Danio rerio: one gene and its partners. The protein of the gene in region 1 purifies or fractionates together with the protein of each later gene. This does not show direct contact. Links are inferred from orthologs where the notes say so. Each region holds a gene or a part of one and is shown in the gene's direction. Other genes may lie near its edges.

The links.
Region 2: the proteins of cbx3a (region 1) and pogzb purify together in Homo sapiens (affinity purification with mass spectrometry; 7 studies listed by BioGRID and IntAct, with this or other methods). This does not show direct contact. The link is inferred for Danio rerio from reciprocal best matches to the Homo sapiens genes CBX3 and POGZ.
Region 3: the proteins of cbx3a (region 1) and znf644b purify together in Homo sapiens (affinity purification with mass spectrometry; 3 studies listed by BioGRID and IntAct, with this or other methods). This does not show direct contact. The link is inferred for Danio rerio from reciprocal best matches to the Homo sapiens genes CBX3 and ZNF644.
Region 4: the proteins of cbx3a (region 1) and chaf1b purify together in Homo sapiens (affinity purification with mass spectrometry; 3 studies listed by BioGRID and IntAct, with this or other methods). This does not show direct contact. The link is inferred for Danio rerio from reciprocal best matches to the Homo sapiens genes CBX3 and CHAF1B.
Region 5: the proteins of cbx3a (region 1) and mgaa purify together in Homo sapiens (affinity purification with mass spectrometry; 4 studies listed by BioGRID and IntAct, with this or other methods). This does not show direct contact. The link is inferred for Danio rerio from reciprocal best matches to the Homo sapiens genes CBX3 and MGA.
Region 6: the proteins of cbx3a (region 1) and adnp2b purify together in Homo sapiens (affinity purification with mass spectrometry; 3 studies listed by BioGRID and IntAct, with this or other methods). This does not show direct contact. The link is inferred for Danio rerio from reciprocal best matches to the Homo sapiens genes CBX3 and ADNP2.
Region 7: the proteins of cbx3a (region 1) and suv39h1b purify together in Homo sapiens (affinity purification with mass spectrometry; 3 studies listed by BioGRID and IntAct, with this or other methods). This does not show direct contact. The link is inferred for Danio rerio from reciprocal best matches to the Homo sapiens genes CBX3 and SUV39H1.

The regions. Positions count from the first base shown.
Region 1 is NC_133194.1:22,210,534-22,214,691, reverse strand, and holds the start of cbx3a (chromobox protein homolog 3a), read left to right. Parts: upstream 1-1,358; 5' UTR 1,359-1,557; coding exon 1,558-1,560; intron 1,561-2,283; coding exon 2,284-2,423; intron 2,424-2,806; coding exon 2,807-2,975; intron 2,976-3,085; coding exon 3,086-3,180; intron 3,181-4,070; coding exon 4,071-4,158.
Region 2 is NC_133191.1:42,534,308-42,537,807, forward strand, and holds part of pogzb (uncharacterized protein LOC561483), read left to right. Parts: intron 1-271; coding exon 272-406; intron 407-510; coding exon 511-707; intron 708-800; coding exon 801-941; intron 942-1,346; coding exon 1,347-1,397; intron 1,398-1,479; coding exon 1,480-1,592; intron 1,593-2,539; coding exon 2,540-3,500. UniProt on the Homo sapiens protein: Plays a role in mitotic cell cycle progression and is involved in kinetochore assembly and mitotic sister chromatid cohesion.
Region 3 is NC_133181.1:27,125,221-27,129,413, forward strand, and holds the start of znf644b (zinc finger protein 644), read left to right. Parts: upstream 1-1,393; 5' UTR 1,394-1,418; coding exon 1,419-1,497; exon of another isoform or gene 1,498-1,622; intron 1,623-3,193; exon of another isoform or gene 3,194-3,247; coding exon of another isoform or gene 3,248-3,287; intron 3,288-4,193.
Region 4 is NC_133184.1:32,230,240-32,234,447, reverse strand, and holds the start of chaf1b (chromatin assembly factor 1 subunit B), read left to right. Parts: upstream 1-1,408; 5' UTR 1,409-1,566; intron 1,567-2,073; 5' UTR 2,074-2,081; coding exon 2,082-2,207; intron 2,208-3,351; coding exon 3,352-3,484; intron 3,485-3,566; coding exon 3,567-3,687; intron 3,688-4,208. UniProt on the Homo sapiens protein: Acts as a component of the histone chaperone complex chromatin assembly factor 1 (CAF-1), which assembles histone octamers onto DNA during replication and repair.
Region 5 is NC_133192.1:11,762,556-11,766,055, forward strand, and holds part of mgaa (MAX dimerization protein MGA a), read left to right. Parts: intron 1-1,405; 5' UTR 1,406-1,467; coding exon 1,468-2,558; intron 2,559-2,941; coding exon 2,942-3,500. UniProt on the Homo sapiens protein: Functions as a dual-specificity transcription factor, regulating the expression of both MAX-network and T-box family target genes. Functions as a repressor or an activator.
Region 6 is NC_133194.1:23,184,666-23,188,649, forward strand, and holds the start of adnp2b (activity-dependent neuroprotector homeobox protein 2b), read left to right. Parts: upstream 1-1,184; 5' UTR 1,185-3,466; intron 3,467-3,871; 5' UTR 3,872-3,881; coding exon 3,882-3,984. UniProt on the Homo sapiens protein: May be involved in transcriptional regulation. May play a role in neuronal function; perhaps involved in protection of brain tissues from oxidative stress. May be involved in erythroid differentiation.
Region 7 is NC_133183.1:27,656,540-27,660,750, reverse strand, and holds the start of suv39h1b (histone-lysine N-methyltransferase SUV39H1b), read left to right. Parts: upstream 1-1,411; 5' UTR 1,412-1,821; coding exon 1,822-1,840; intron 1,841-3,349; coding exon 3,350-3,531; exon of another isoform or gene 3,532-4,211. Other genes in the region: proton-transporting V-type ATPase complex assembly regulator TMEM9 isoform 1 precursor, read right to left, coding at 165-256, 905-1,018. UniProt on the Homo sapiens protein: Histone methyltransferase that specifically trimethylates 'Lys-9' of histone H3 using monomethylated H3 'Lys-9' as substrate. Also weakly methylates histone H1 (in vitro).

The DNA.
Region 1 (4,158 bases):
TCCCCTCTGATTTTGAGAGTAATGTACAGTTATGGCTGGGTTTAGGGGTAGGGAATAGGTATGGATTACAATTTCCAACAAAAATGATGCTCCAGGATAAACATAGATGTTGATCCAGGATCAGATCGTACTTGGCAAAACCATGATGTGCGTATCTCGTCATCCTCAACTTCCTTAACCATGCAAGTGTAATAAACGCTTGTGTTTTTTGTTGCAAAGTTATCTATGACAAAGTCTCCCAAAGACAGATTTGTGTTTCTTGGACCACTACTCTCATCCTTAGAGCTCATTTCATCAGACACATTATCAACTAAGACAGGGACATCATTTTTCCCAGAGCTGCTAACTATGATTTTGTTTTTGGTTGCTTTCTCTTTTTTTTTTTTTGATTTTTCCTTTTATTTGCTATTCTTAAGCTTTTTGTTTCTTTTTTTTGGTGTTTTTTTTTTTGTTTGTCTTTTTTTATAGGCCTTTTCAAGTGTCACACGGTTTCATTTGGATTGTGTTCTGGGGAGACATTTGAGAATGGTAGCATTTCATGAAGAGACATGTATCCAGGTTGGCTAGAAACACATGGCACATCCATGTAGACTATATGCGCACTGAATGGAATAGCATCAGTTAGTGAACTATCTGTAAGTGGATCATCTGCAGGAAGTAGATCATCCAAATCTTCTGTAGTGCCAGGCTGGAGCTCAGGATTTGCCTAGTCTGACACCATGAATAGTGCAAAATGCTTTATCAAGGAAAATTTCCCATGGAAAAATTCCAGTGGACCTAAATCCAGAAGTGATGTTGCGAAGTGTCACTGCTCGTTTGAAGGCCTCGTTCACAAGTCCTACAATCTGGTAGACTAAATTTAACTTGTGCCTAATGTCTCACTTTACCCCACTGCCACATTTTAGAAATTTTTTTTTTTTTTTTTAGCAATTCAGACTAATCTTGAGCTAGCATACTCACATCGTTTTATATGTTGGTAGTTCATGCTTTCCAAAGCACCAGGAATTCCTATTATTCATGGTAAAGGAGATATGGAAGGGGCTTTAAAACAAAATTGTTATAGAGTGATATATAAAATTCGTTGCCTAGATACAGGGGGTATCTCACATTACCCCGTTCTCCCTTTGTTGTGTCATGTTCTGGATGTAGTAGGCAATAGGCTAAACATATAGAGAATCTGTTTTAGAGATCTGTTTAATGAGTGAACACTTAAATTGAAGTTAAGTGATACGGTGTATCTCTCAAAATAACTGAATCGAGATGTTTTGCCATGGTAATCTGCGGATGTGCTTTTGAATTCACAGGCGCTCCGCCCAACGTAAGACTCATTGGATACACGTGATTGCTCTCAGATAGGCGTGGCTTTACGTCCTCGCGTTCGATTCTGGCTGGCCTTCGTCGAGCCTCAGTCGGCTTTTCTTCTTGATTTATTAGTATCAAGTAAGTAAAACTTTTAAAAGTGCGTACTTCGTTGGCGCGGGAGCAGTTTCTGTAAAGCCATTTGCAGTTCAGAAGGCGTGAAGATTTGTTATCCAAGTTTTTATCTTATCCATTGTCATGGTGAGTTTCGCGCGCATGCCTCTCGTGCTGCAGCACCGTCCATTGTAGTTTGTTGTTTGAATGCTGCAGTCTTGTTTATTTTAGCTTATTTTTGTAAATCTGCTTTTAAGCCCTTTAAGTTGTTTCACTTTACAGAAATGTAGGATGCATATTGCACAATGTTTTGTAACGTCGCGATGTTTTGTCTGTTTCTGTGAGCATTTCCTGCTAGCAAGTTGGCTAACGCGGGCTACTGTAAACCAACACGTGTTTCAGCAAATATTAAGCGAACAATATTTTTTTGTGGAAAGTTATACGTTCACGCGAGCTGTGTGTTCGCCGGGAAATCTTAAACCGCTATAAATTCGAGTGGGAAGTTTGAAACGCTTTCAGGGCCCTTGGCCTGTTCATGCATGCGCAGTTACCATTAGCTCGCTAACATTCAAGCACACTTAAAAGGCACCACATACTAACGCGTTTTTAACCCTAGGCTAGCCGTAAAGGCATCACTGGATTTGAGAACCCCCCTAGCATATAGTATCATTTAATTTCTTAGTAAATGGGCAAACATTAACGTTAGCCTTTTTACTATTATATTACAAGTCATAAACAGTTAAACCTTTTCGTTTGTTATTTTGATACAAAAAGAGCAGAGTCTTAAATTTTTAACATTTTAAATTTAAAGTACTTGAAATGAATGATAAGGTCTGGTTTATGATGTCATTTGTGTGTGTGTGCATTTAGGTCAACATGGGTAAGAAGCAGGCAGGCAAGTCAAAGAAGGAAGTTCAGGAGATTGAGGAGTTTGTGGTGGAGAAGGTAATGGACCAGCGAGTGGTCAATGGAAAAGTTGAGTTTTTCCTCAAGTGGAAAGGCTTTACAGAGTGAGTACTTCGTCTCTTTTGCAGCTATGAAAAATAAACGGAATTGTTTTTGCATATATTTTGATTTGTGAGTGTAGCTGTATGCTATTAGATTGTAGGGGAAAATGACTCTCCATCAGGTGGTTCCAGTTTTTAATGATTTTTTTTTGAACACTAAAGATAATATAAAGCAACCTGAAAACCGGTAACCATTGATTTCTACAGCAGGAAAAGCAAATACTGTGAAAGTTAATGTAAACAAGTTTCCAGCTCTCCTCAAAAAACATGATTTGTGTTCAATGGAAAAAAAATCTAACAAGATTGGAGCAAGTGAAGGATCAGTAAATTACAATTTTCAGTTTTTAGTAAACTATCTCTTTAACAAGGTATCTATGTTTCCTCAGTGCTGACAACACTTGGGAGCCTGAAGAAAATTTAGACTGTCCAGAGCTGATCGCCGCATTCCTTGAGTCTCAGAAAGGAGTGGTGGAAAAACCAGAAGCTGTAAAAAGAAAATCATCCACTGATGAACCAGAGACAGAAGAGAGCAAGGCAAAACGAAAGAAGGAAATGGTAAGATGTTGTGTTGGTCATTAAAATATCTAGCAGATGTGATGTTTTTTTTAACATTGGTTAAATTTGCTAAATCTAAACTAATATTGTTTTTTGTTTTTTTACTGTAGTCTGACAAGCCTAGGGGTTTTGCAAGAAACCTTGAACCAGAGAGAATCATTGGGGCGACTGACAGCAGCGGGGAGCTCATGTTCCTCATGAAGTGGTAAGAAACTATTGTGGTTTTGTAATTGATTTAGAACATGTTTAGCTGAGAAAAAATAGTGGGGGAAGTCTTGATCTTGTTTTGAATCTGTTCAACTTCTACAAGTCATACTATATGAAGAATATTTGAAACCTATTTTAACTTGGTAAATAAAATGTTTGTTTGTTTTGTATGAAAAACAATCCACAAAAGAAAGCTATAACGTTTTGGAATAACATTTGAGTTCATTTTAAAGATTGTTTTAAAGGCCTGTAGAGGGCAGCAGTCCCACGCATAAAACCTTTTTATTAAAAAATAAAGAGGCTTACTGGAGGGCTCATTGTGTCGGCTTATTTTTATTCAGGGTTTCTGCAGGGTCTTAATGTCTAAAATCCCAAAATAAAAAATGTAGGCCTTAAAAGTCTTACATTTACTCTGTGTTGTAAGTCTTGAATGTTTTTTTTAAACAAGTCTTAATTTTCCTATGTTCGTGTATTGCTAGCCAATCTGGTCAAAACTCATACAATCACCAACAATCCATCTCAAATTTCTATTCAAAAAGGTAGTTTAACTTAAATTTTTAATTTGTGTAGAAGTGCTCCACGTGTTTACTGCTCAGGACACAATTATTTATATATAATCAAAGGTGTATGGTATAATTTTTTTTTTTTTTATGAAAAAAAAATAAATGTGTGTGTGTGTGTTTGAATCCATATCCATATTTTAAATTAAACTGACAAAATACATTTGTTTTAAAATCTAGGTTTTCAACATCCCTTCAATAAAGCATCCACAAGATAATTTACCTCATTTGCAATGCAGAGGTCATTGTTTTGAAGTGCAACACTGTACTTCCTAGTCTAATTGTTCTGTTTGGTCTCTAGATAAACTTCTTTGTCTTGTGTTTACAGGAAGGACTCTGATGAAGCGGACCTGGTTCCCGCACGAGAGGCTAACACCCGTTGCCCGCAGATAGTTATTGCTTTTTATGAAGAAAGG
Region 2 (3,500 bases), on another chromosome or scaffold:
TTTCAGTCATGTTAATGATGCAGCGGACATGTCAAGTTTCTGCTTGTTTCAAGCCATAGGCAACAATGTCTTTCTTCGTTTTTACTTTTGTTGAAGAAATTACCACTGCTTTCACCTCCTCTAGAACATTTGGAACATTTATCTTGCTTTAGTATTCTGTGAAAACATTAAATGTGTATTTATTTATTAATTTATTTATTAATCCATCATTTCTTAACTTAACAGACAAACTTAATTTCTACAATTATGTGGTAATTCTATTTTTCCTCAGAAATCAACAGTTTACCATTGTAACAAATGCCGTCTTCAGTTCCTTTTCACAAAGGACAAAGTTGAGCATAAAATAAATCACCACAGGACTTTCCGAAAGCCCCGTGAATTGGATGGACTGCAGCCTGGAACAAAAGTAAAATCTTTGTTTGTTTGTTTATGTGAGACTGAGAGTAAATTTGCAACAAGTGCAAAAATATAGTATTAATTGATTTATTTATTTTTATTCTTCATATTCAGGTGACCATTAGGGCATATGTTGGGAAAAAAACACCAGGTCAGTCAGCTTCAAAAGCATCCACTAATATTCAGAAGAATAGTATTAGCAGTTCACAATCGACAACTCTAAGTGGCGACCAGCAATCAGAACAACAGCAATCTGGGAAGAAACAGGTCAGCAAGATGTTTCAGTTCCTGTCCAAGTTCCAGGAGCAGAGGTAAGCTCATGTTATGAGATAACAGATAAACTGATCCATTTCCACTGGAAATTACAACTCTGAAGTGTTTACTTCTGGTTCTCTTCTTTCCAGGGCTCAACTGGGCAGACATAAGTGTGTGGAGTGCACTTTTGACATTCCAGACTTTGTGAATCACTACCCCACTTATGTTCACTGTTCACTCTGCTTCTATAGCACGTGCTGTTCTCGTGCTTATGCAAATCACATGATCAAGTAAGTTGAGTCAAACATATATTTTCACATAAATTTTATATATATATATATATATATATATATATATATATATATATATATATATATATATATATATATATATATATATATATATAAAATTTATGTGAAATTATATGGCAAAGTGATGTAAAGCTTTAAGCATCAAAATTGGTACTTTGTATCGGTTGATCACCATGACAAGAAATCAGTACTTGGTGTTGCCTGTAAAAATCCTGATCGGAGCGGCTCAAATATATATATATATATATATATATATATATATATATATATATATATATATATATATATATACAGAAGAATATATATGTACAGAAGAAAACAGTTTCATTGGAAATTGCAGCTTGAAGTTTAGTCACATATTGCAATTTATTTTTTTAATTTCAGCAATCATGTTCCTGGAAGGGCTCCAAAACCTTCTAAAAAGGGGCCTCCAAGGTAATGTAATATTTGGATTTTGAGTTCTGTTTTGCTCAGTCTGAAACTGTACCTTATGGGTATTTTGGTGTTCTTTTTGTAGCGTTGTGAAGCTGACTTGTGCAGGTTGTGAATACTCCACTCCTCACGGAAATTTGATGGCCAAACATCTCATCAAGTTCCCTGATCACTCCTACTGTTTATTCATGCGCAAAGGTGGGTGTTCTCTAGCTCAGTAGAACATTACAGCATACTTGTATTTTTACTGCATTTCTCTTACTGCATGGGCCTCTTAACCTGCATGCTCGTTTTTCTTTCTCTGCTTTCGTACTTCTGTAGTTAGAGGGTATCCAACTCTGTTGTAGGTGTCTTTAATTGCATGTTTATACTAATACAGCATTGACACAAAAGTAAAAATACAGTGAACTAAATTACTGGCATCATGGCATATTCATCAAATTTAACCTTTTCACTTACAAATTATCACTTATCATTGTGTCTTAACTTCTTACATGTGCAAAGGGCTCGGTACACAAACCCTGCTCATCACTGCATATGTATTTTCACAGATTGAATGTTATTTATCCTGTTGATAGACACCTACAATAAAGAAGGATTCTTTAGTCAACACATTTTCCGTGCATTCTTAGCTAAATCATACAATAGACATACGTCAATGGCACTTGCAAAGTGGCCCGTCTTGAGTGATATCCCACAATATGTGATGCTCAGCAATCACAGGTGTGGGGTATGAGCTCAAACTGTCCATTGTCAAAATGGACAAACATGGCCCCTTTGCACTTGGTGTGAATTCACAGGATTTACTGACAAGCCTTTGCGAGAGCACTCTGGATGTGTAATTGAGTATTACATACAAAAATCTACCGCACACCGCCTGAACTGGAGAATGTCAGAAGAAGTACAAAATAAAAATCCTAAAATGGATTAATTTAGAAACATGACAAATGAATAACGTCAAGGAGTAACCATCGGGGAGTTATCTGCTGCTTCTGAGCTGCTTATTATTTTCTTTTTCAAAAGCTAACTGACCTATCAGAACTACATATACATTGAGCATGTTATAAAATGGATTATTGGTGATGGTAAAGACTCCAAGGAGAAGACTAACTCTGTGTTCCTATAATCCCTCCCCTCCCCTACAGAGTGTTTGGAGACAGATATTGAGTTCTGCCATGTTGAGGAGGAGGTGGAGGGTCCACAAGGGGATGAAGCTAGTGATGTTGGGACACAGCCTGACTGGTTGTCCCTGAAACAGTGGAATGTGCCCAAAGAGGAAGGAACAGTGCCAGAGTTCATGGAACGTTGTGGCCCACGGCATATAATGACCAGGAATCATGATGTCCTCGACTACTTCCAGGTTCTGTTTCCTGATGCCCTCTTTGAGCTGATTGTTTGTGAGACCAACGCCTATGCCACTTATTGCTGCTCTTCAGGGCAGGGGGACACATCTTGGCACCCTGTGTCTGTACAGGAAATCAAAGGCTTTTTTGGTCTCTCTATCCTCATGGGGCTTCAAAACCTGGTGGAACCGGACTCGTACTGGACCTGGGAACAACACCAAGGCCGCTATGGCTCTAGAACATGGGAGCTGGTTTACAGGACCATGTCAGTGAATCGTTTTAAGCAGATCAGCACTTACATCCGAATGAGCAGCATGCTTGTGGAGAATGACAGCCAGAGTGCTGACAAGTTGTCATTTTTTCAGCCGATGCTGAGCATCCTGGAGAAAAGCATGCAAGAGGCCTACAGTCCAAACAAGTGCTTGACAATTGATCAAGCTTTCCTACCGAGCCATGATAAGGGAACGGCTCAGGAGAAGAGTAAAAATTCTCAGCCAAGGATATGGCTACTGTGTGACTCAAAGTCAGGCTTTTGCCATAAATTGCTGGTCTCAACACGACAGGAGAAGCACAAAGACTTGGGAAAATCAGTTGTGCCACATCTCACAGAGGGTCTTGAGGGTAAACATCACAACATCTTCTTGTCCAGCTCACTTGCCTCTGTGCAACTCATGAAGGATCTCTTTGATAGTGGTATATACTGCTCCAGCTCTGTCCTGCCACAAAGTGCAGTTTTGCCCAAGGAGTTTTGGGATGAACCTCC
Region 3 (4,193 bases), on another chromosome or scaffold:
TCTTTAATCTAGTTTTGAACTGGGAGAGTGTGTCTGAGCCTCGAACGTTATCAGGAAGGCTATTCCAGAGTGTAGGAGCCATGAAAGAGAAGGCTCGACCTCCTTTACTTGATTTTGATATTATAGGTACTACCAGAAGCCCTGAATTTTGAGATCTTAAAGAGCGAGTTGGATTGTAGCGAGACAGAAGGTTTGGTTAGATAAACAGGAGCTAGATTATTTAGAGTTTTATAGGTGAGAAGTAATATTTTAAATTCAATACGAAACTTAACAGGCAGCCAGTGTAAGGAGGATAAAATTGGGGTTATATGATCATATTTTCTAGACCTGGTCAGAACTCTGGCTGCTGCATTTATATATATATATATATATATATATATATATATATATATATATATATATATATATATATATATATATATATATATATATATATATGTATATAATCACATTTTAACACATTTCCAAACATAATAGTTTTATTAACTCATTTCTAATAACTGATTTATTGAGTTATTATATACTGATGGTTTGTTCTGTAGACTGTAGAAAAACAAAAAACTTAAAGGAGCTAATAATTTGGACCTTAAAATGGTGTTTAAAAAATTAAAAATGGCTTTTATGCTAGCCGAAATAAAACAAATAAGACTTTCTCCAGAAGAAAAAATATTATCAGACATACTGTGAAAATTTCTTTGCTCTGTTAAACATAATTTGGGAAATACTTAAAAAAGAAAAAAAAAATGTCTTAAAAAATGTCTTCTTTTAAAACCTTTACAGGTGTGAGACTACATAAGAGTGAGAAAATCACTTTATTTAACTTAAATAAGTAAATATACAAACAAACTGACTACACAAACATATAAAGAAACATATAAAAAAATAAAAATAATTAAATAAAAACATTCCTGTAATGGTAACCCATTCTATACAACAGCCACAATTGTTTTTACAGTTTACCAAACCTCATTACCTATTTATCAATCAGTTTAAACAATTGCCAACAAGAAATGCTCACGACAGTCTGTCAAAATGAAAGGAAATTTCTGTCAATAAATATTACTGACCAAACCATCCCTAGGTGTGCAAGTCCACCTTTCCACCATCTTTCCTGTCTTTTTTCAACACAAGCAGCAACTTCACCTAAGAAGAATTCACTCTGTGTCTGTGGAATATTCCATATCGCGAGAGGGGGGCTACAGTACCTACCACAACCACAACTCTCAATAAAGACCAAATGCACAATTCCTCGGTGAAAAACTACACTACCTTAAATTTCCACTTTCACTTTGAAAGGAAGTAAACATTTTGTCGGGTCTTAGTGTGTGGTGTCATTTGTGAAAGCAGAAACCAAACATCCCTCTCGGAGTTTTAGTTCAACCTGCAGAATTTTAGGCAAAATGGCGACATTGTAACGGATGGAGGACGAAAAAAAAAGGACCGTAATCAAGTACCATGACAAACTTGCCCCGTGTTATAGTGTCATTCTCTGGGAAGGTAGGTTTAAAGCTTACGAACGTCTTCCCTTGCCGGATGTGTGTTTAACCGTGTTGAGAGATGAGAGCGCGATGGGTACAGTGAGTCCTTGCACGGGCACGAGAGCTAATGTACACGGGCATCAGGTATGTCAACACACCGTGCAAGTCACGAATCCTGCAAACTAACATTTCACCCTTCCGTTGTCATATACGCTATAACTCTAAACAGTATTGTATTTGGGGGAAAGTTGGACGCTCTTCTGCATCTGAGGAGCGCACTTGCGAGGTTTTTCGTTTTCACCCTGCAACACACTTTATACACACTTTTACAAGATGGGTGTCAGAATCGATGCAAAGCGACGTCAGTCACCGGATGAGACGAGCCGTTTTCCATGTCAGCTGGGAGTTTTGTGTCGCGGCCTCTAGTCGCGGGTTTGACACTTGAAGAGCGCAGACGCGTTTAGACGCTCGTCTTGAAGGCGCTTGGCGCGACCTTGATTGGATGGAATCTGTGCGCAACGCGTTTGCGCATCGTGGCAAACAAACATCCCGACAGCCTATTGCTTTCTGTTGGAAATCTCAGTCGATCGTTTTGAATGGTGTTTAAAAATAGGCCCTTTTAAATGATTTGTGTTAGCCACAGAACTTTTAATGGCTGTAAAACGCACATTTTATGGCGTGAATGAAATCACTGAGTGACATAATAGCATATCTCTCACAGGCTGTCCACTTACACATGATTTTGATAAATCTTACTTTACATCCATTAGTTTTAGCAGATGCACAAACTCTGTTCTGCTGCATGACAACTTTTTGTGGCAAACTAAGATCCTGCTTCAACCTTTTTTTCTGTCCTAGATCTTTGCCAGCCATGTCAAGAATCAGTGTTTTCTTTTGCTCACTAGTCAAAATGTTGACTTGAAAGAATTTGACTTGTCAGCTGTATCTCACAGGCTGTCAACCAACACTCAAAAGTCACTTTTGAGTGTTTATTTTAAAAATGTAAATACATTGGATAATGTCTGTTTTATTGGACTTTAGCACACTTGTAATTTGGCCTTAAGCATGATGCTTCACGTTAAAAGCAGTATTGCTGATGTTCAGAAGAATATCACAGTTGTCAAGAGATATTAACGTTTCTGATTTACTGATTTTTTTCCTCTTTAGATACCTAGTAATTCATTTTACTTTTGACAAAAATAGGCAATAGCAGATGTCAAACGAAAGGCTTGCTGTTTAGATTATTATCTTGGTGTTTCTGTGGTTATTGTAGAAGTATAACTAAACTTCTGATTGTGTTAATACTTAATTTTATTCAATGTTTTGTGTTTTCATAGGCGCTAAGTACCATTTTTTAATGTTTGGATCAGGTCACTAGTTCTTTAAAACTTTGCTTTCCATTCTTATTTATCTAAAGCATAGCTTCACAAAAAGGCTTTTCATAATGCACTTAAGTGGTTAGTTCACCCACAGATGAAAATTATGTTATTAAATACTCACCCTCATAAGATTTTTTTATATATTTTATATTATTAATATTAAGATATTTGGAATTTTCTTTAAGTCTAGAAAAGTAACAAAAAATATCCTCTGTACAGACCATATGCCTTCAGTGGTTTATCAGAGTATTATCAATCTACAAGAATGTTTTTGCACACATAAAACCAAAATAAACTACTTTATTCATTCAACTTTCTTCTTTTTCTCATTGTCAGTATAGGGCACATGCTTTCATGAGTACAGTGGAGTGACATACAGTACCTCTTCGGATGCCCATGCTCCTTTGTTTGAAGCACACATGCATCCAAGGTAATATGTTAGCAGCATAGTCAAGCACAACACATGAATATGCACCCTATACTGACACTGAGAAGATAAAGCTGTTCAATAAATTTCTTATTTTTGTTTTATGTGTGCACAAAAGTATGATAATATTCTAAATGGCAGTCTGCAGGCATATGGTCTGTTTTTAGAATGTGTGTGATGTTGTAGGGGGTGAGTCTGGAATTTGTAAAAGGGCTTAAATAGTTGCCCTTTAAATTCTAAATCTTTTTTTATTAGCCCAGAAAAATATCTATTATCTGTATATTTAATTATGATCATTACATAAATGAAAATATTTGTTTTAAGTTGCTGATAAAATATAATTAACCCAAAAATATAATTATCGCAACATTTAAGAACAATAATGAATATTTCATACTGTATTTTCACAGTAACGTGCACCCTTACTTTTTATAGGCATGATAAGTCTAATAGGGCCCAGTAAATAGGGTCAGAGGTTTTAGTTACTGTGCGAGAGGTGAAGGATTTTACTGGCTCTTTTAAATTAACATATTTAATTAAATTTCATGTTTCATGCTCTCAGAATACTAGTGAGCTGTGTAATACACTGTAAAAAATCTGTTAATTAACAGTTCCCTTATTTTGTGATTCACAAGTGTTTTCCATTTATGTACGGTTGTGAATTGCATTATAATTTCTGCTCTGTCGACATATGATGTTGAAAATTCAATAATTTGTCTAACTGTTTGTCAACAGATTGACAAAGTGACTTATTGATACTTAAGTAGTTTGAAATAATATAATGTATAATAAATAATATATAGAGAAATAAGTCTGTAAAATTATGAAAATGTACCAACAGTTTATTACAAGGTTTTTGTAACGTAATATAGAACACCAACCCAGACAATATATCACATTAAACTATTA
Region 4 (4,208 bases), on another chromosome or scaffold:
TAGTAGGCTACTGCATATGACATAGGCCTGTTGGTTAGCACATTTCTGAAGTGGTATACATGTCAAATTGAAAAAGTAGACTTTTTACAAAAATGAACAATATCCTACTTCAATAATAATAATCGTCATCATTAATATTATTATTAAAGTAGGATTTTTTTTCTTTCCTAATGAATAATAAATATAAAATTTTATTTATTAATAAATAGCCTCATTATTTATTTATGTACATGATTTATCAGATTAGAATATGTGTTAGCTTTTGTAAGTGATTTTATGTTTTAGAATAGAACATGTAATGTTCTTAATAATATCTGTAAAGGAAACTTAGGCCCTATATGTGTCATGTACATATATTTCGGATTATATGGAAAACGAGTGCTTGTTTTTACCAAAACTAATATTGGATTTTTTCTAAATGCGTGTTTGTGTAAAACAATATAATTTGCACAAAGAAATTATGGGTGTCTTCTCTAAAGAAGTAGTTACTCCACTCCGTTTAGAGCATCATTGTGGGTGTTTTACATTATAACTAATGTGATTCAAGCGATGAATCAGCAACAGAAAAACTACAGGTTTTGGGAAAAACTCGTCACTACATCGTTCTTCTCCCAAACAATACATCATACTATGATAGCTCAGCCACGAATTACATTGTTGTTCAGGAAACGCACCACTGGTCATTCTTCGTTGACCTCTGGCAATAACAAGGCATTTGCGCCCACAGAACTGCTGCTCACTGCTGGATATTTTCTCTTTTTCAGATAATTCTCTGTAAACACTTGAGATGGTTGGGCATGAAAATCCCAGTAGATAAGCAGTTTCTGAAATACTCAGACCAGCCCGTCTGGTACCAACATCCATGCCTCATTTAAAGTCACCTAAATCACCTTTCTTCTCCCAAATATTTTACATGGAATTTCATAGAAATGTTATCCCACCTTTACAGACAGTTAACAAAACATTTTAGACAACACAATAACATTTTTCTTTTACTTCAGAAATGTTAAGAAATCAGTATTTGGTGCAATAGCTTAATTCAATTAATTAATCAATTAATTGAATTTATTCAATTATTCAATTTCAATTACTTAAATCACAATAAAAAAAAACATTTGTTATATATACAAATTGTAATTTACTGCAAGACAAAGATTGTTTTGTCTTCAAAATTGGTATAGATTTGATTACACCTTTACATAGTACAAAATATTTTAACGTTATCTAAAATCATAACTAGCAAATTCAGATAACCTGCAAATTTTCAAAGGGTCTCTTAACTTTTTCCAATGCTGTAAATATTTTAGGTTGCCAAATACTGGTCACAAAACTATATTGTTGGCACTTTTCAGAACATCGACATGTGCTTTTCAAGTGGATGTTGAAAACGCCACAGCCCAACGGCGGATTTGTGATGAGGGATTTGGCAACCCGTGAAACAGGAAGTTGTCATTGTCAGAAAGCTGCGCGGGAAAGACGTCTGTTTGGGTGAAAGCGGGACTTGTTCACGAAGTAACTAAAACATTTTTGTTCCGACTGTCGCAGCTTCGATTGACGAAGTAACCGGTATGTAATTACAATATATTTTGCGTCTGTTATTGACCGTCGTTATGTTTGTTACTTACTTATATATCTCTTCGAGAACAGCTGTGATGTACTTAACGTTTGTTTATTGTTCCAAATTCCGCGTTAACAGTTCGTAAAACAAGTATTTAACGATACCAAAACACTGCAATGTTGGTATATTTCACTAAATACGCTGTAATAATGGTTCTCGCCAGATACATATTTGTGTTTGTAGTTTATGGACTTGTTTCAGATGTGTGCAGTGTTGGTTTTGTTTACTGTAACGTTATTTGTTTTCAGCCTCACTGATAGCTTAGTATAGAGACCGTGTGTTACTGTGCTGTGGTGAAGCTGTTCAATAGTTTTTTTATGTTAGTTTTTCCCAAGTGTATGCCCTCTGTCAAACTATCGTCTTCTGCGGTCTATTATTTCTCTCATATTCCCCCTTCCTTCATTTTCATTATGTATTATATTAATATTTCATGTCGTCATATCCTTGCCCATCAGGTGCCAGGATGAAGGTTGTAACCTGTGAGATTGCCTGGCATAATAAGGAGCCAGTGTACAGTCTGGACTTTCAACAGAGCGGTGATGGAAAAACACAGCGTCTGGCCACTGCTGGAGTGGACACCACAGTCCGGGTAAGAGAGAGAGAAAAAACCTCTGCTTAGATTTATTGGCATACATCACAAGTGCCTCCTAAATTAATACAATTGAGATATCATATGAAACCTTGAGACGAAGAACCATATAATCTATATTTTCACATTTTAAGTAATACTATTTTCTTCATTTGGACTGTGAACATTATATTATATATTTTTATTTTACTTGAAGATAGACGACAAAAGCTCCTTGACTCTGAGGAGATAACATTGTTCAGTGTTAGTATTAAAAATAAAGTATTATTGTGATTTACAATCTCAAAAGCGGAAGAACGGTATATGTCCAGTTACTAGTGTGGAAAAACAGTTTAACTCATCACTTGAAAAACACTAAAGATCTGATTCGTTTATCTTAGTTTTAATGCCGTAACAAAAGCTTCAGATTCATATTTTCAAGTTTATTATTATCAAAAAGAAGCTGAAAATAAAGCATGAAGAATGTACAAGACATAGTCCTTCTTACAGTACAGACAATAATCAATTATCACATAGCTAAATATTATAACATTACTAAATGTTGTAGTTTATTTAGACAAGCAGTGCACCTGTGTATATATTACTTCAAACTGATATAAATGAATGCATAAACTCTGCTTGCCATAGTTTACACAGAACTAGCAGGAAATATGCATTAATACAGCTTTATTATACATGGTATGTGGTTTATTTGATAGGTTAACTGTTTTTGTTCTGTTTAGCGCTCCTCAGCATGTTTAGTAGGAGAGAGGGAGAGGGATCAAATCACATATACAGTTCTTCCACTCACCTTCATCTTCCATCGATTCAAATATACTTTCCCAGCATCCCTCAAAGCTATCCTGACTCTGCGCCTACTTACGCTTTCCTTTTTTTGCTGAGGATTTGTCTTTTAATGTTTGAAGCTGACATGACAGCTTGGGTCATCTTCGTTCTTAGACATCTTCTTAAAAGACAACGTTTTTTTTACTCGTGAAGCTATTTTAACATTTAAAATGGAGACTGTGGCTGCAAACTTTCTGTATGCAAAGTTCACACATACAATTAATGTCACATGGTTATCTCATTTTTATTTTTTCTGGACTTGTACTGATGTTCATCGCACGCACTCATATAGTAAGATGAGATCTGCTCTCATTTTCAGATGTGGCGTGTGGATAAAGGGCCTGATGGGAAAGCGGTCGTTGAGTTTTTGTCTAACTTGGCACGACACACGAAAGCAGTGAATGTAGTGCGTTTCTCACCCACTGCTGAAGTGTTGGCTTCTGGGGGAGATGGTGAGCTAAAAGTCATTCCAATACTTGGCTGAAATTGTGTATGGAGGCTGTAAAAAGTTAAATGTAGTGTCTTATTCTTAAGATGCGGCCATCTTGCTTTGGAAGCTGAATGACAATAAGGAGCCTGAACAAACTCCGACCTTTCAGGAAGAGGAAGATGCTCAACTTAATAAAGAGAGCTGGAGTGTGGTCAAGACTCTAAGGTTTGATTTTAGACCTTTTTTATTACCTCTTGATTGTCTTTTACATTTAAATCAGCATGAAATGAATATTTGACTAATGTGTCCTCTTAATGCAAGCTTTGATGTTATTGGAGCCTGTAACTTTTTTTTTAAGTTCAAAATTTTTTCTGATAGTGATTATGTGAAGAACGTTGTGAAATTCATTTAGTTCCTTTAACAGGCATTAAATATCAGTATATTCTGGAATCTATAAATATTTCCTTTGGTGTGGAATATGTGCATGTCAGCAACCTGGAAAATTACAAAGCGCAAAAGCATACATACTTTGGAGCAAGAAAAATGCTGTATGGTCTTACAATTTCAAAATTAACATAACCGATACATTTAAAACTTACATGGACCTAACATGCTTCAAGCTAAATCTATTAATTGACTGTTATTTTGAACCAATTCATGGCAGAGCAAAAGGGTTCATTTTCAGGAGTTTGAAATGGATCAAAGGTAGCATTGGCATCTGAACACCTTTAAAGTACCCTTGGTCT
Region 5 (3,500 bases), on another chromosome or scaffold:
ATTATATGCATTCACTAAATGTGTATTTTAACAATATTTAAAAAGTGTCTGAGTTGGAATTTACTCTGTCAAAACTGTTTCCCATCACATTTTTTTTTCAAATAATGTTCTAACCAAACAGATAAGTCACATATCCTGAGTTAAAAACCTTTCATGACTGTGTATTGTTTACAAATACTGTCACACACAGTATATTTTAAATAAACGTTGTATTTAACCTTTTTTATTTGTTTGTTTAGTTTGAAGCTGGTTTAAACTGGCTTAACTCAAGTCCCATTACCTTGTTTTTAGCATGATGCAACTAGTGGCTCCAATTGCAACTACAAGAATGGTAATGATTGTTCCCAAAGAGGTTTCCTTACGTGTGCATATTTTCTCTTTACCCCCCATTTACTTGTTATATTTACAAATGTATCAATTTCATGAAAAGAAAGAAGTAAGTTATTTTCATTAAAATCAGTTTTGTGGAGGCCAACATTTCTTTTTTTCCTTTTCACCTTTTGAAACCATTGTTTTGAAGTCAGTTTTTACTAGTCAGTTTTGGTGTCATTCAAAGACTTTGTTTCCACATGCAATTAGGATCCATTTTCAATAATCTGCTAACAAAAGCTTAGTTGAGATGCGCAAGTGTTTTTGTTTGGTAACCATCTCAAACTCTCATATTTGCAATCTTCACATTTAGATCACACATATTTTAAGACTTAGTTTCTGGCTGAGCACTTTATTTATTACAGAAAAATTATATTATTATAATAAAAGGTGGAAATAGCCAAAGTCCACCCATTGGTTGGTGTACAGCTTGTCTTCAAGGTAGATTTTTTTTATTTTATAAGTATGATATTCTTGGTGTTGGCTCCTCCCCATTTTTACAGTTAATGTCAACATGAATATGTTCAAATGTTCTTGTTATTTGTTTTTACTGAGCTAGATGTTACTAGTTGGTAAGTCATTTACTTAACACTGTTCATGGATTGCCAGCTTAATGCATAGTTGAATCTCAACCCTGCACTTGTCTTGGAAGGTGCAGTAGCATACCTCAATTACCCTAGACCAGCATGTAGGACTGATAGGACTTATTAGATGCCCTTACGAGTATTAACTTGAGGCTAATGCCTTGCTATGATGAATGATTATTTGTATGTAGTACACAAAGCACAATACACAACTTTTTAGTCTAACTGTTCAAACATTTCTCCATAAAGGTGTTAGAAGATTTATAAGGTAGTGCATTTCTTGAAGAAATTGGTCTTTTACAAGTTTCTGCACTGAAGCCAATCAGGGCTTCGACTGATTAGTAGTAATCTATTAAGTAACACAAACTGTTAATGTTGTGCTAAGCTTTCCAGTTGCTAGCTGTCAAAAAATCCCATGTTATATACACATTTTTTTCTTTCTTTTTTTTAAGGATGTAGACCTGATATACCCTAATGTGAGAGGGTCAGAAGCTATCCAGATGACTTAATTCCCATGGCCGATACAGAGAAACAGGGTGCAATGGTGCTTCATGAAGAGGGCGTGACTGCCCCAACACTGGCACCTCCCACAACCACTCCACCTTCCATTTTTGTTGTTTTAAAACAGTTGCAATCTAGTGATAGTGGGAATGACAAGGCTAATCTAATGGCAATTAGTGAGGCAAATAAAATGGGGAAATCCTCAATTGGCACTACTGTGGCAGGCATTCAACCAACATCCTCCACATTTGCAGACACTAACAGCACCACACCATCTGAGAACTTGCCAGCAGATGCTAGATGTAGAGGCATTACTGTGACCCTGGATAACAACAACATGTGGAACGAGTTCCATAGATGTAAGACAGAGATGATTCTGACTAAACAAGGACGTAGAATGTTCCCCTATTGCCGGTTTCGTCTCTCTGGAATGGAACCTTTCCAGAATTACGTTTTGGCAATGGATATTAAACCTGCTGATAACTGCAGATATAAATGGAGTGGCAAAGGATGGGAACCCAATGGGAAGGCTGAGCCTCATATTTCACGGTTGTTTGTACACCCAGAATCCCCTGCTAGTGGCTTACATTGGATGCAGTACCCTGTTTCATTTTACAGACTGAAACTTTGCAACACCTTGGATCAAGAGGGCCATATTATTTTGCACTCAATGCACCGATACCTTCCACAAATTCATATTATACCTGCAGACAAAGTCAGTAAAGACATTCTAATTTTGGACAGACCCAATGTTGTAACTCTCAGTTTTGCTCAGACTGAGTTTTTTGCAGTCACAGCCTATCAAAACCTTTGCATCACCCAGCTCAAGATTGACTACAACCCCTTTGCCAAAGGTTTCAGGGAGGATGCGGTCAATGCGCGATCATCTAAGGCCAAGAATGGATTGTCTACTGATGAAACAGAGAGTGAGCTCAAGCTGAGCAAGGAGATGACAACCTTGAATAACTTGAAAACACTGTTCATGAAGAGAAAAGCTTCTGTAAAGGTCAATGTGAATCAAAACGTTCCCAACCCTACAAATGGAGAAAATAAAGTTGTTAATGGTGCTGCGCCAGCTGTAGACACAAATGTTCAAAGTTTGTGGTAAGTAGTTTTAACAATTTGTCAAACGAAAGCAGAATTTTGATTTAGCTGGAGATGTAGTACACAAGAAAGATACTCACTGTGAAACCATGCCATTTATATGCATTCTTCTATGGCTTTAGAAAGAAACCATGACGCACAAAAGTTTCTACATTTCCGAATATAGTATTATTGAGCCATAAACATATTGACGGTTTATCTAATATTATCAATAGGATTCTCCTGACCCATTATGACATTAATTGCATATAGACAGAGTTATGTAGCTACGGCTTAAATGTTTGCATTTATTTTATTTTATCATGTTTTTCATTGTACATATTTACCTTTTTGCTAAATCTAACAAGTTTTTCTGTCTGATCTTATCTCTCTTTCTCTAACAGTAACAAGAAGCGTCCATCCTCATTGGCATTCTCCGACTTCATTAAAGGTGCTCATGTGAAAGTAAAAAGGTTATCACTTGAGAATATCAACAAAACTGGTGGGGCCACGGAGCCATCTACTGCTTGCACAAGTAAACAAAAGGAGGCAGCTGATATATCATCCATAACAGAAAATTCTTTGCAGGTTGATCAAAAAGATGGAAATGGTGCAGGTGATGTTCTCAGATGTGAAAGCACAGACACGTCTTTAAAAACAGGTGTATTAAAAGCAAACGAGATTAAAAAAGAAATTGATGAACACAGTGCTGACAAGAATACATTGAAATCAAGTGACCAAAATCTATCCTGTTCGGATGAAAAAAAAATGGAGACAGTTTCTTCTCTAAGTACTGAAGCCAAGCCCGAGGCACAAATGAAGAAAACCTTACCACACAAGAGACCTGAACGTGTGCCCCTGCCTCTCCTCGCTAAGTTTCTAAAACAGAGAAGACCTATTTTGCCCAAACCTGTCTCTCACAGCTCACTCTCAGATTCTGAAAAGTCCTGTGAACCTGCCCAA
Region 6 (3,984 bases), about 970 kb from region 1:
ATTTGTTATGATTATTTCAATGGTTAAGCAATTATCGTCACTAAAGTTTGTTTTGTAACATCAAAACAAGACACTTCAAGTGCTAACATTTCTGCATCAGACATTATTAAATGTTACTTAATAAAACATGCACTGTGAGATTACTGTAACTTTTATTCATGAGGTGACACTTATTGTATTTTAATGACATTGTCAATTATTATGAAAATTTGGGTCCACAAATTAATATTTATTCAAGTACTTGTGATTTTATAAATTTATCTTTTTTGAAATTAATTCTTAAGCATTACATAGTGAGTGAGTTAAATGTCATAAATAAATCGCAAAATTGCGAATTTCGAAAATTTAATTTTCTAAAAAAATATATTTTTTTCAGTTTTCATCACGTTTGACATGCCAGCCTCTACATCACTCCGCTCAAATTGTAAAAAAAAAATCAATCTATAAACAAACCTAATAAATAGATGCGTTAATTGCGTCAATACTAAAATTCGTTAATAATTGTGCGATGCATGTTACGATGATCATAATTATTATTTAAAATGTTATCGAATCTAGTAAAATCCCACTTAAAACTTGCAAACGTGACTTAAATTTTTTTTAAATTACATTTTCGAACAAAAAAAGCGACTATCGTGTTGATCAAACCGTTCATTAAGACTAAAAAAAACTTCCAATGTTATGTCTGATGGAACTGTTGGTCATGACATAAAATCAAAAATGGATCATCAGAAATTTCATGCACCGTAAATGCCAAGCAATTTTTTTATATGCCTTAGCTAGTATTATTACTTGCTGGTCACCCATTGGATGAAGACTAGTGGTGTGAGATGACTTCAGCAACAAGACCCCTCCCATCTTGTGCAGTTGCTCAGCAACCAGCTCATTGTTCAAGGTGCCATCTAGTGGCTCTACATGTGAATTACAAGAAACCGCGCCCTCTAGTGGCCAGACCTCTTGAATGAAAATGCCTTATCATGATGAATACATGAAACATAGAAAGTAACCACAACCTGACTAAGTCTCAACTTAAAAGTTGATTATGCTTCCCCACGTGGTTACAACTGAGAACCAGCAGAAGTCATACAAAAGAAAGTTTTGGCATGTCAAGCCTGCTTAAATCCGATTGGTCAGGCTCGCAGTATGATAATTACCCTCTTGACGTCACTTCCCAGTTGTTCAATGCGCCATTTTCTCGACTCTAAACGGCAAGCACAATAAATGGGTCCTACTTCCAAATTTTAATAAATACAATTAATAGCTGATTTCCATAACTGAGAGCACAGACTTCTTGTTGGAACATCCTTACATCGTCTCATCATCCTAACTCGTCGGTTCTGGCAGACACGCGGATTGGTGAAAGTAGGTAAATCTCCCTGGGTCGGTGTGTGGCGCCGAAAAAAGCTAATGTCCTCACAATTAGATAGCGGCGAGAACATTAGCTTTTTCGTTCAGTTGTCGCGCGGTCGGTGTGATCAGGAAGTAGAACGAAGTGCATTAGCCGAGTGCTCTGAAGAGGTTACTTCATGACATCACTGCGCTATTTGGAATCTTGCTTTCTAGAAGGGAGTCTTTTTTCCTGCAATGTGAAATCGCTCTTGTCGGTTTTTTTCTATCGATGCGGCGCTCTTGGAATATTATTTTCGCCCGGCTATAGAGTTACACTGGACGCTATTGTTTGGAAATTTCCGTGTGCTTTTGGCGGCGGGGTTTTATACGTTTGGGCAGCGGTCGCAGTTAATGCTTGCAATAAATAAATAATTACAGCTCGAATTGGATATGCTTTTGGGCACATTTAGATCATGGAAGTGCAGTCATTTGCAGTTAGGATTAGTTTATTTTAATCGATGCAGAATCGAAATTTGTCATTTTTATCCTGCATTTGTGCCCAATATCTGACATGTAGCACAAAATGATTTTTCCACATGTTCGGTAATACAAAGCTGTTCTCGGTATGCAATAATTAGCTAACGTTAGCCTTGCTATTGAATTCACCAGATTGTGTTGAAAGCGCTACACATTCAACAGGCAGAGATGATGAATATATGTGGTCAAAAATATATATATATAAATAAATAAAACAAACACTTAATGTTTCTTTACCTTTCATCACTAGCATGCACATTTTTATAATGCTAGGATCTCATGTTTGTTTTTGAGCAATGGAGATGGGATGTTAAATCAGCCTCATAAGTCAAAAGTGAAAACAAGCATCGTATTTATAATTGTATAAGAGTTGAACTTCGAGGGAAAATGTCCCTAAGATCTGTTTAATTTTATTTTTGTGACAGACTTATATACTTGAAATTAAAACATGCTTATCTGTTCCTGAATTATGCAAGCTGAATGCATACTTAGGGATAAGGCTAATAATAGATATGCTTTTATCTATATATTTCAATGTATCATATTATATGCACATTATGCTATTATACTGTTACACTTACCACAGCTAATTATGATACTATAATGGGGTTACATATATTGTACATATATACATTTATTTGCTTGGAATACATTTTAAAAACTTTGAAAACGTCTGCGCATGTGCTTGACCCTGCATTCATATAGATGCACAGATTGCAATCTGTGCATGTGTTTAAATTAGTTTACTTATGTATAATAATGAGAAAGATTACATTAATTGAAATAAGTTCACCAAAAAAAAAATCAAATAACTTTTTATTGTACGTGTACTATGAGGAGTGAAAAGCTTAAGTGCTGGCTCCAGACAGTGCAAAATACAACATATTCCCAAAAAACAAAAACAATATACAATTAGCAGTGTTGACAGTAATGCATTTAAGACAATGAATAGGTGTACAGATAGTCTGACTGTTGATGGAAAATTGTTGTAGGCAATATTGTTTTAAGTAACGATTGGTTAAAGTGTAGTGCATGCTATGTCTTGAAAATACTACCTATTTACTCATCTTTGAGAAGTTCCTGACCTTTGAGTTTCACTATTATGCTGAACGCAAAATAATTTATTTTGAAGAAAGCTGAAAATCTGTAAGCTTTGACTTCCAAAGTAAAAAAAAAGCACATGTCATAGAAGTCAATGATTTTCAGCATTCTTCAGTATGTATTCCTTTGTGTTATGTATTCCTCCTGCTAAAGCAGGTTTTTAACAAGTGAAGATGACAGTGAATTTGTCACGTGAAATGATTTTCCAGGTTGGAATAAACTGTCCTATTTTTTTTCTTTCTTTCTTGAGTATCCTAATTATTAGCAAAAGCAATTCAGGCTTTGTTCACACATGCCCATTCACCTGATTTATTTATTTAAATCTGGACTGAATGTACACACTGTTATGCACTGATTGTATTTTGATCCTCACTGTACACTGCAATCGTTCAGGATCTTGTATATATATCCATGCTGGTTTCTATAGAAATTGTATATAGGTTGGTGTCAGCTTTGTGCTCTACAGACACACACAGTGACAAGCAGTAAACCACTGCAGGTTAGTTGAGCTGATAGTGGCATATCCCTACCAACATTCAAAACTACTTCATTTTTCTTTACAATAATCTTGGTCGAACAGTACAAATGGTTTCCATTTATAGTGTCTTGTTTTTATATAAATAGTTTCCAGGCTAAAATGTCTTTCCAAAATGTATTTATTTAGTTAGTTTATGAATGGTTGTGTGTTTAGACCTAGCTAGCTAGCAATTCCAAATAGTTAAAAACAACCTGAGCAAACAGAGTAGAAAATTGGTTTACATTTTTTTTGTGTAATAATATTATAATACTACGGAGTATTTATTGTAGTACTGTATAATTAGGCTAGATGATTTTAATAATCGTCTATAGATAATTATAAGATTCACAGAATAATGAAATATAATGACATATAAATCTCTTTCAGGTGTTGCACCATGTACCAGTTTCCAGTAAAAGGTTTGGAGAAGATCCGCAGAACAAGGCGAAAAGTAAAAAATATTCTTGGAGAATTTGGACTTGAAGCATGTCTTAATCTGG
Region 7 (4,211 bases), on another chromosome or scaffold:
AAAATTTCTATATATTTTAAAATATTATTAAATTAAAAAGTTTCTATGACAACTTTAACGTAATACAGTTTGGTATATTTAGCTTCGGCCCACCACCCTCAATCAAGTTTGGTTTTTGGCCCTTCATAAGAAAAAGTTTGGGCACCCCTGGTCTAGAGTCTTACCAGTCTTTCTGGGTCACATTCTTTTTGTATATATGTCCAGTGATGTTTCTGTAAGGTGGACAGATGCACTTGCAACGCACATCTTCAAAACTCTGTGAAAGCAACATATTATTTTCAGAAAGAGACAAATGATTTCTCTAAAATGAAGAAAGGCACAGTATTTAGCAAGGAATTTGAACTTTTTTTAAATTATACACAATTCATGTTAGAGTTATGCTCATTTATTTATTTTTAGGATAGGTATATAAAGCACATTAGTATAAATATAGGGGGTCAAAAAAACTTTTGTTAAATCATATCATCAACCTCAGTAAGTCCTTCCTCCATATCTCAGACATCTTTTACACAATTTTGCTGATTAACGTGCAAATGTAAACCTATTGACAAACTATTAAGGTTTCTTTTCTGGAGTAGTTTGTATAGGTTAATACTCCAAAGATTTAGTTTTAGTTTTTTTTTGTTATAAAAAAATGCTAAGTGCTAATCCAGTACTGGGTTGCAGCTGGAAGGGCTTCTGCTGTGTAAAACATCTACTGGATAAGTTGGCGGTTCATTCCGCTGTGGGGACCCCTGATAAATAAGGGACTTAAGCCGAAGGAAAATGAATGAAAAATGCTAATTGCATTAATAACATGTCAAAACCTGGTAACATTCGAAATGTTGCCTTTTTTCACGTTTATTTACATATAGAGGTTTTAAAACATAAGAATACAGGTGAAAATAAGCCAGTAAAACTGTACCTTATCTGCAGAAGCAAACGACACCACTTCTATGAGAACAAGAAACGCCAGGAAAATTACTGGTGTCCGGAGACTTTGTGCAATGAAGGACATGACGCCTGTAAAATAATACATTTAAATTATTTGTCGTTTAGCTAAAGGTGATGGTTGTACTGTAAACAATGTACTTATAATCAGTTAGTAAATGGTCTATGCCGCATTAATAAGAGGCTGGCAGACAACCGGTTTCGCCGTTTAGGCCTTCTCCTGTCTATATTGCGTATTTTAGAGGAAATAAAATTACATAAGGAGGTACAAATACATAAAATGTTACACGCAGAAATGCAAAACTAAACGCACAAACATACAGACAGTATTTACATCAACGCATTTGTTGACTTTTCCCGGAAGTTCATGAATGTTTACGTCACACTGTCACGTGACGATGACACTCTACATGTCCCGCCTTCGCATAGATAGATCTATGCCGCCTTCATAACCGGCGAAAAGCAAAATAAAAGACTTTACAGCACATCTCCGTTTTTACTTTGAGTGACGTAAACAGCCTTTTTGTTTCCTAGATGTTAGATTATGAAATTAAAGCCTTAGTTCAAAAAATCGTATTGACTTTTTTGTCTCGCCTGGACACCAAAAATTAACCATTCTAGAGTAATTAAATGGGTAACCGTTAAATGGAAAGCATCTCACAGATAACTAACGTTAGTGTCTTCAAAATATTATCCATATCTGCCTGTAAAATCAGTCAAATTAAGATCTATTTTTCCTCAAAGTTCACACATTTAACGAATGTGGCATTTTGCATAAACTCTTCCCGATTTAAATACTCTGCCACTATTGGTTGCTCAACCCGTCACTCAGACGGGGCGCATCCAACCACCGAGCAGCCTTTAGTTCCATAGTTTTGGCGGCGTGAGACGATGGCGGAAAATTTGAAAGGTAAGAATATGCCGTGTTAATCGTTCACAAACAACAGTTTATTCAATATAAGTCTGATCTATAGCCCGAGTTGGTTAAACGACATGTTTTCTCGGAGGTAACCCGGAAATAAGCCCCGAGTTTTAAAACATTATTTGCTGCAAGTTGCTGATACAAATTCACGGTAGGTCGGTGTTATGGCCAGCGCGCGCTCCTGAAACACGTTTAACAAACTCTTCGACAATCGCTTGTTCCCCTGTCCAGATTGTTTTCTGAAGTTTTGTTAAGTTGTACAATGTTACATATCTCGCATATGCGCAGTTTTAGCATACTTTTCGGTGTTTAGCTAACGTTTTTATTTTCCTTTGCTAAGTAATTCATATTTAAAAGCAAATGAATACACTAAAATACCAATTCAGCCTGTGAATACTCTTAGTTTAGCTTTGTTAAAGTGTTTAAATGGCCCATTGGTTAGCGAAGATGCTCGCGACCAGCCCTGTAAAGATTAACTTACTAATGTAACGTTATTCCATAAAGCATGAAGGAAGCAGATCTGTACATTACTCTTTTGTATTGTTTTTGTAGATCTAACGTTATATATTTTATTAAAGTTATACGAGAAACTATAATCACTATCTTGTTAGGGAGTCTATTCTCACAATATATTTTGATAAGAAGTTTTAATGTTGCTATTACTTTGATAACATGACAATATTGTAAGTTGGTTTAATTGGCTTTGGTTTGTTGTTGGTTTTTAGAGTTTTATGATCAAATATCTTGAAAATGTTTGTAGTCCATGTTATTAGCTACATAATATTATTTGAAGACTATTTCACTTTTAATTAATTAAATACATTTACAAATACACAGTACATTACAATACATTTTTGTAATATTATTTCAAAACAACTTAATAGTTTAAGTAACATAACAAAATATGTACAAAGTAGTGATTACGGTTGTTTCATAAAATTTTTTTTTAAAGAAAATTATATTTTGTCATGTGTGTGTGTGTATGCATGTTAACCAATAATATTATTTTCACATGCTATTTATTTTGACATGTTTCTTTCTGCAAAGTTTTAGTTTACATGTATGTTAGCAACAGCTTAGCCGTGTTTACTAGCGTGCACACATCTGTCATCACCAATTTTACGGTTGTTGCTAGATCGGATATGGTTGCAGCCAAAAGTTAAAAAAATTGTATTTATTATTCATATAATTTCCCATTAATTGCATTTTATTACCATCTACTCCTACCCAAACCCTGAACCCAACCATCACTTTTATGTAAAAACAGTAGTTGTACTGAGTATTAAACATGTAATTTATTAAATTACCCAATAAATTGTATCTTATAACGTCTACTCCAACCCTAAACCCAATCATCACAGTACTGTATAAATATTCTTGTACAGTGTCACAAAAATGAAGCTATATTGATGTGCGTGTCCGCATCTGTAATCTAGATTTTACCCACGTTTTTACCTCTTTTTTTTTCTAAAATTGACATGTAATCATGTTTTATAGCTCAAGTTTGCAGGGTAGCATGCATTGCTACGACAGAGCAGCTGGAGGTGGTCTGTCGAGATGAGGGAGTGGTGTGCGAAGAGCTCGGCATCAGCAGGAACAACCTGTGTGATTATGAAGTGGAATATTTGTGTGACTACAAAAGAAAAGTTATCACAGATGGGAAGAGGCAAACAGTACAGGTGAGCAGAAAACAACACATTTGTAAAGCATTAGGTTTTATTTGAAATCCAAGTTTCAATTTTTTTTATCCTACATAACAATTGAGAAAGGATTTCAGATTTACAATAGGAGGAACTGGCATTCGGAACAAGGGCTGGGCTATATGGCAAAAATGCAGTCTTGATAATTGTTTTCTATATTGAACCGTAACGATATACATTTCTATGTAAGTTGTTAATGCATCCAGATTTAAAAGAGTAGCCCAACAATGACTGAAGCCACAAAAATTAGAGGGTACTTTAAATGGCATAACATAAATTCAGCTGATGAATTGTCGGTGGGCAAAAATTTGCTGCATGTCTAATATCAACAAAGTTCTAGATTTCTGTTGTTGCACATTTCTGCTGTGATTGGAGCGATTCGATTTAATATCATTTATTGGCCCAGCCCTATTCGGAACTGCTATTCATATACTAGTAATAACAAATGTAATTTTTTTTAAAATATACTTTTATTATATGCAAACATATATAATAAATAAGAGCTTAAAACTAATATTTTGCAATATAAATAACATTTAATAAAGTATTCCTAAAACAAATGTCACTGTAATTATTCTTAACACTGATAATACTGTTAAACTAGATGATTCTGTAATAATAGTAATTGTTGTATTTAACAACAGCAAACTTTCGTATTA